Linked DNA regions of Coturnix japonica. The protein of the gene in region 1 interacts with the protein of each later gene in a biochemical or structural test. Links are inferred from orthologs where the notes say so. Each region holds a gene or a part of one and is shown in the gene's direction. Other genes may lie near its edges.

Evidence for each region.
Region 2: the proteins of RAB11A (region 1) and RAB11FIP4 form a complex in vitro, tested with the Homo sapiens proteins (2 studies listed by BioGRID, with this or other methods). The link is inferred for Coturnix japonica from reciprocal best matches to the Homo sapiens genes RAB11A and RAB11FIP4.

The regions. Positions count from the first base shown.
Region 1 is NC_029525.1:16,456,760-16,460,391, forward strand, and holds part of RAB11A (ras-related protein Rab-11A), read left to right. Parts: intron 1-500; coding exon 501-694; intron 695-1,150; coding exon 1,151-1,231; intron 1,232-3,632. UniProt on the Homo sapiens protein: The small GTPases Rab are key regulators of intracellular membrane trafficking, from the formation of transport vesicles to their fusion with membranes.
Region 2 is NC_029533.1:7,736,046-7,740,261, reverse strand, and holds the start of RAB11FIP4 (rab11 family-interacting protein 4), read left to right. Parts: upstream 1-1,364; 5' UTR 1,365-1,630; coding exon 1,631-1,765; intron 1,766-4,216. Other genes in the region: SCPEP1 (retinoid-inducible serine carboxypeptidase), read left to right, coding at 44-109. UniProt on the Homo sapiens protein: Acts as a regulator of endocytic traffic by participating in membrane delivery. Required for the abscission step in cytokinesis, possibly by acting as an 'address tag' delivering recycling endosome membranes to the cleavage furrow during late cytokinesis.

The DNA.
Region 1 (3,632 bases):
GGAAAGCACAACCTCTTTCTTTTTGAATGTGTAACTGTGCCTCTCCCTGGTCTGAGAGGAAACCAAATGGGGCATTTCATAAAGAGAACACATCAAGTTGATGGTTTTTTTTTTTTTATGATCCAGTGAGTCATTATAAAGTCTTCCTGCTGCTCCGGGCTGTGCCTGTGCTGCACCCACAATGGTGGGTGGGGAGCCTTTCAGGTGTGGGTCAGAGGCTGAAGGTGACAGTAGATCCCCCACAGATACAGTGCTTCATTTTTGAGGTGCAGGGTAACCCACCAGCCCCTGAGCTGCCCTGGCTGCTGTTGTGGTCACACGGATTAACCCTGGTCTGGATGCTGTATTTCAGCTGCTTCAAGTCCCATGTATCATGCTGTGTGTTATTATTATTTTTAATATAACTGTCTTTGCAGTAGTGGGAAACAGTTATTACTCAGTAGCTTGTCACTTTCCATCATGTTTCTTGCTGGTTCTGTAACACATCTCTTCACCCACAGGTACTATCGAGGTGCTGTAGGGGCATTACTGGTGTATGACATTGCTAAGCACCTTACTTACGAGAATGTCGAGAGATGGTTGAAAGAGCTGAGAGACCACGCAGACAGCAATATTGTAATCATGCTTGTGGGAAACAAGAGTGACTTGCGCCACCTGAGAGCAGTCCCTACAGATGAGGCCAGAGCTTTTGCAGGTTGGTGAACTCAAAAGAATTTCCTAATTCAAACTGTCCAGACTCTGCCTACCTGATGTGAAATACGTGAGTGTACAGGTAGGAGGGAAAAGACTCAGTGCCACGTACTGCTGCATGTCTTTTTTCATTCAGTTAAAATTGAAGTCCTATAGAGCCTGTATGCTGATAGACTCTCAAGAATCTGCCAGAGGCACTTGAAAACAGTTTTAAAACAGACTTAGTTCCGTGCCTATGCATTGCTTTTCTTGTAGAAGCTCTGCTGGTGGGTTTAGGTTTGTGTTTTGTGCATGGTTTCAGATCATAAAGAGGAAAACCCTACAACTTTTAATGCTTTTTTTTTTAGCACTAATGCATCTATCTCATCAGCAACACCTCGTACGTTGTCTGGTACAAAAGTTCTTTTGGATGGGAGATAAATGTTATACATCTCTAATTATAGTATTTCTGTCCACACAGAGAAGAATGGTTTGTCATTTATCGAGACATCTGCTTTAGACTCTACAAATGTGGAAGCAGCTTTCCAGACTATTCTGACAGGTGAGTCATCTAATACTTTGTGTTTGGAGGAGGAAGGGCAGAACGCTGCTCTGATACGCAGCAAATAGGCATTTATTTGCCTATAAAGTGTGTAAAATTTAGCAATTCAATCATTCCTCACAGCTGTAATATTCAGACGCTGCTTTTGAAGTGTCATAGTTGATAGACCAGCACAGGGCTTGGGAATGAGTCTGGTCTTACTCACTTTGCTCTGCCCTGGGTTTCCAGTCCGCCTGGTTTATGTGCTTCACTTTCCCATTTGTGGAACAGGGAGTGGCTGTGTGAGAGAATTGTCTGATGCCCACCTCCACACAAAATGGCTATTGTCAGAGGAGAACGCAATCTACCTTGTTTCCATCACTATTAGTGAGCATAACAGCTGCCAAGAAGTGAGCAGTACTGTAGTCTGGGACGCAGTGACTCCTGAGTGCAGGGTGGTTGCTGTCAGTGCATATAATAAACCTGGCTGGACTTCTGGCCTTTGTAGCACGTGATAGCACTGACTGGTGCTGTTTTCATGCTCAGTGGATGAGGTACTTCCTTTTTGTTTAACCCCTTTGTCTGATAGGCGTAACTTCTCGCTTCTGTGACATTGGCAGCTAGTTAGATTTTTTTTTTTTTTCTCTCTCTCTCTCTTCTTGGCAAGTAATAGATACTTTCTTACACAAACGCATCATAAAGGACTTTTTAGCCATATTGGAACATGCAGTGCGGGAGGTAGCTAGAAAATTAATAAATATACATTCTGGAGCATTTTCTTGGGTTGTTTGAAATATATTATGAGTACCCTTGCAGTGGGGGGGTGGTGAGAGAGAGATCTAACTGCCCTCAGCCCCTTCGTGGACCACTCTGTGCCATTGCAGTGATGACTGGTGTGCTCTGGGCTGCTGCCTGTCTGTGTGATGCTCAGATACAGTATACTGCTGTTGTTATGGAGAAGCAGTTTACCTGTTGGGCACGCACTAGGCTGTTTCTTTTCTCTCTCCTGGTATGCTTCCAACAGCACTTTTTTATTCCAGAAGTTATTTTGGATTCTAGTTAGTGGAGGTTTGATATGCATATATATATAATATATGTATTTTTTGTTTGTTTGTTTTTCCTGGTTTTATTTCTGGAGGATAGCAGTCTGTAATGTGAGAGCAAATGATTAAGATTAGCCCTCAGTGGACTCTGACAGAGTGTTGGGGCTGTTGCTTTCTGAGAAACGTCAGGGCTCCCTGTGTTGCTGTGACAGTGTTTTGAACTCTTGGGCATGCGGACAGAATCCTTCTTGAGGAAGGGCTGGTTCAGCTGTGCTGGAAGAAACACTTCTGTTGATTAGTGGGCACATGGTTTGCTCCAGACATCAACTCCTGTTTCAGGGAGATAAAGATGAAGTAAATAATACATTAGCAGAGGCTTGCCTCCATCTCTGCTGTAACTGGCATGCAAAGGATGAATGTTCTGCCAATAAACTTCTTGATAACACTTCACAGCTGGCTATTTGTGTTAATGATTTGCTTTGAAGGAAAGAGGTGAGCAGTCATCTGAGGAATGTGGTTTTCAGAGTGACCCTGTGGAATCATGGATAGTCTGTATGTATGTGGCTGGGTTGCCTCCAAATGTAACCCTAGATGAATACTTGCTGTCATTTGAAGAAGAAAGTTGATAAAGCCAACAGGCTTTGCCACAGGCATCGTGTGGAGGAGGCTGACAGAAGGGGCAGGGCGTGCTGCTGCACCAGCTTAGTTAATATCTTCCATGCTGGGAAGAGTGCTGCAAAGACATCTTAGGCTGCTGTCAGTGCCTCTCAGCTGCTTAGATCTTTCCTGGACAGGGATGTCTTGACTGAGATCTGGAGCAAAACTCCTTTGTTTCCCTGCCCTACGGAAGGTGATCTGGTTGGGACAGTGGTCTACACCTAGATTCTCAGATGAAGCCACCTTAGGTCGATAGCTTTGGGTGTAGGAAACATGGATCTATTATAGTTAGCACAGTCTTAAGTGAGTGTGTGGTCTGTTGTTACAGATGGTAGCAGAAGAAGAAAACTTTCCTTTTGTCTTGCTGTGTTATAGATTTGCTGGAGAAGGGCAGTGGGGGGGGCAAGGCATTAAATCTAGTACACTTCCTCTCCTGTTGTTTGTACTAGGTGAGTTTTGGGGACCTTTTCCTTCTATGGCTTAGAATAATGGTCCCTGTCCAAGCTCCTCTGTTGTAAGATGTCTAGACTTCAAGGGCTAATTCTTGTGCACACAAAGCTGCTTTGTATTATTTGGCAAATATGAGAGACTGGTGTTTTAATCTTATCCCCTGTGAGCATTCACAGCAGGATAAAGCATCCTTAAAGTAAACTGGAGTCAGCCTCCGCTCCCTGTCTCATTCAGTGCTGCCTCTGTTTCTGTACCACATTCTTCTGTGGTTT
Region 2 (4,216 bases), on another chromosome or scaffold:
CTCTACAGCAGCTGCTCACTGTGTGCTCTCATCTTCATGCTAGGTACCGTCTGATCAAGGAGAGATGGCCCTGAAAATGGTCAGGATGGTGACCCAACAGAAGCAGTAGGGCAGGGGAGGCCAGCTGGTATGGCCTGCTGCTGAGTGCCAGCGTTTGTGTGGAGTGTGAGGAAAAGAACAAATAAGCTGCAGGAGGAACAACTGGTATTTGGACACAGCCCCTCTGAGCTTCCTGATGATGTGTAAAAGCATTTCTGAAAAGGCAAATTTCTCCTTGAATGAGCTCTAGCTTTTGAATTTCTAAGATGTGGTTTGGTGCCTTAATACTTTTCAGAATGACTCTTCCAAGATGATTCCTGTCTCATAAACAGCTGTAGGCTCTGCCTCTGTCTTGGAAGGGTCCTCTCCATTTTGTTTTCTTGTTTGTTTGAACATCAGGACTGAAACTGACGTCTGTTCTGGTGGATTAGCTGCTCGTTCCTAAGAGCAAACCTGCTGTATGAAGTTTTGGACTATTTCCTTTCCTTGTCTTTGGGTCTTTGTCCTTGAGTTCCCTGGCTGGATTAGAAGCTGCAGATTTGACAATGCCAGCGTAGCAGACCTACACAAGAGGGTGTGCAGCCCATCTCAGTGAGATGAGATGCCTGAATGAGGATGCACAGTTCCTCAGGCTTCCTGCACAGCCTCCCTCCAGGGGAGGACTTTAATCTCCTTCATCTGCCTGTTTCATTCACTTCTTAACGACCCAAATTTTGTCTTTAGCTTTAACACCTGAAGTGCATCCAGCAGCGATTCCTGCTTTCTGCTGTGAAGGAGGAGCCCTGCAACACCTTCTTCTTGTGCAGAAGAGAATCCCAATGGACTGAACCCTCTATGAGCTTCTGAGCATGGGTTGGAGAGTAGAAAGCAGGATGATATTAAAGCAATAGTAGTGTCATTCTGAACGTTTATAGCAATACCTAAAACAAGGATTTAATGAGAGCCAATATTTTCACTACTTTTTCTTGATCTCTTAAGTCTCATAGAGGCTTCCTGGTTTTGGAAGCAACGCTTTTCATATGGAATACTATCAAAAGGAGACTTGATCAGACATTGTTTGATTTTTACATTGGAGCATGAGGTGACTGCTCTGTATCGGTGTCTGGTAGGAAGCACAGCATCTTGTTCCAGCTGTCAGAATACCAAATAAACAGCAGCCACGTTCGGGTTGGTCTGTAGTCCTGACTGAAGGCAGCGCTGTGTTCTGTTCTGTTCTGGGTACGGTCCGATTTGTCTTAACAACCGGCAGCGGCCAAAGCTGCAGTTCCGGCTCTGGCCGCTGGGTGGCGCGAGCGGCCCTGCCATCATTCCCAGTCATCGCGCACCTGCCGGCCGCCGCTCAGCGACCCCTGGCCGCCGCCCGGCGCCCCTCCCTCCATCCCGGCTCTGCCCTATTGTTCTCCGTTCCCTCGCTCCCTCCCTCCGCCCGGGGCTCTCGTTCCTCCCCGTTCTCCTCCTTCCTTCCCTCCCTTCTCTTCTCCCGCTCCCTCCGTCCCCTCCCGCTCCCCGGAGCCGCCGTCACGCTCCCTCTGAAGGCGCGGTTGATGATGGCTGCAGCGGCCGTGCCGCCGGCCTCCAGCTAACGGCCGCGATGGAGCCGGCCGGCCTGCTGCGGTTCCTGAGGAAGCTCAAGGAGGTTTTCGACGTGTGCGACGAGGATGCGGACGGCTTCATCCGGGTGGAGCACTTCGTGGCCCTGGGGCTGCAGTTCGGACAAGGAGATGAGGTGAGCGGCGATACCTGCGCGGCCCAGGGCGGCTCGTCCCTCCCCGACCCCCCGGCAGCCCCATCCCGCTGCTCGGGGCCGCTCCGCCCCTCAGCGGGGCAGGGCAGGGCAGGGCCCCCTCCATGGGGTCCCGGTTCCCCCCGGTCCCTCCGAGCCCCCCAGCCCCGTCCGGAGCCGTTGTACCCCGGCACAGCTCCGCATTTCCTGCCCGGGTTTCGGTAAATCCCCTGTAAATGCGCGGAGCGGGACCGGGAGCCGACACAGCGGGTGTAGACACGGCTCGGTGCGAAACGGCTCCCAGTGTGCGATAAAGGGATGAAACCGCTTTAACTAAAGGACCTGGAGGGATGAAAAGCCGTAGACTCTTGTTTTATCCACCGAAAGAATAGGGGGTGGGGGTGGGGAGAGAGTAATAGCAGACAGCCGTGATCGCTGGGTTTATTTGTAAGTTGTACGCTTTTACATCAACTAGAGCCGTCTCTAAACCCTCGTTGCCGGGTGTGTTGTGTTAAATTGCTCCTCCCGCTGCTGTGTTCGTTTGGAGGCAGATCGCTGGCTCTCACAGCACGGGGGAAGGTCAGTCCCGGAACAGCTGGGATTGTAACGAGCCGTTTTGGTCTTGGAAGTAGATGGATGAGGTTGTGAGAGGCCACCGGGATCAGCAGGATGTGAAGGAGGACTCGGTGATGGTCCTGGGGTGTATTGGGTGGGGAATGTTTAAATGAAACAAAGAAAAGAGTGAAACTGGTGATCGCAGCAGAGATGGCAGCAGAAAAGCATCAGTTGTCAGTGATGGCATCTCACAGGGGAGGCTGCGGAGCCTAAAGAGACACGGCTGGAGCGCGCCTTGTTTAGCACACAGGATGTATTTACTGCCACTGACAGTCAGCTGTGTGTGTGGAGATGCTGCACAACACGCCTCGGCTCCTTTCACATTCAGAAGAAATCTTTCCATTTCTGTATCTCCAACTTCCCAGACCCTCAAAGTTTGCACTCTATACATTCTCAGTGCTTCACTGCAGCTCATGGCTCAGGCATTTAACCTCAGAGGTGTTTTCTTTCTCTCTCCTGATGACAGAAACTCGGAGTGTGAGACATTTTGGTTCAGGGCTTAAAAATAACAGGCTCAGGCCTTGCTTTCCTGATGAACATTCTGTTTGTGGAAGGACCTGCAGAAAGAGGCTGCTCCCAAAGCAGTGTGGCTGGGTGGCGTATGCACAAGTTGAAGCAACACTTGCCATAACACTGAAAAATGCCAGGAGCCTCTTGCCATCTGCTTCCCTTTCCCTGGGCAGACAGTGTCACTCGCAGCTGAGTGTCTGGGAGCTGTGGGTGATGCGTTCAGCCAGCCCCGGTTCTGGCAGTGGGTTGTGTGAATGTGTATTTCAGGGTAGTGCCAGCTGAGGTTCCGTTACGCCAGACTCTATTTAAGCTTTACATTCAGTTTTCTGCAACAAGTGAAACGTGCTGAAACTGTGGAGTGTTTCTTTTGGAGGGTTGGAGTCGTCTTTGGAGGTGTGCAAACGACGGATGCTGAGACGTGGGGAGATCAGCAAATGCTTATTGACTTGAGAGGGAAGCTGAGCAGCTCGTAAGGTCTGTTAGCCAACATCAATTATTCTGGTAGTTGGACAGTAATTGACTTGAAGTCAGTGGTTCTCTAGGAGTGTAGAACAGAAGTAGCTGAAAACAAGTTGACATTTTGTGTGGACAGATGAAACTTGCTGGCCGAAAGATGCTATTGAAATAAGGAGAGCTCAGTTGCCGTGTTTAGTTGCTTCCATTTGATGAGTATCACTGTCCTGGGCTGATAGTGGAGCAGTCAGCCTTGCATGGTGCCCAGCAGGCAGTGGCTGCTGGCTGTGTTTGCACTGACAGTCCTTACAGACATGCTCCATTCCGACTTACCAAAGCACCCAGAGCCCTGCCCTGAGCACAGCCGTGCCCACATCCATGAGCAAAAAGGCTTTGAGACATTAAAATGGGAGTGTTACAGAGTGATACCCCCGTTCTCTGAGCGAAGGCACAACGGAGTTATGACTTTTCTTCTCTGCTATTCCTGGAAGTAATTACTGAAAGCACAGCTCAGCTTGCTTAGATACCCCAGGATGCAGAGAGCTCTCCTGTGTGGCAGCGCTCTCTGAATAACAGCAAAGCTGCCATATACAGACTCCTTAAAAATCTGTTTTCTAATGACCCAGATACTTCATATCGCTTTGAATTACTTGGAAAATGTGTAGTTATGGAACAGTGCAGGCTTATGGATTGCTGTAGCTTTATTAACTCAATGCAGACTCTCGGAGCAATATGTTTGAAGTAGCCTTTTGGTGTTCACTGAGCATGGATTTGCAAACAGCTGACCCAGGGCTTGCTTAGCACTTGCTGTTAATCAAACATCTTCATAAGCGCTGTTATGAAGAGGAAGCTGTGGGTTTGCTGTGCACTGGGGAG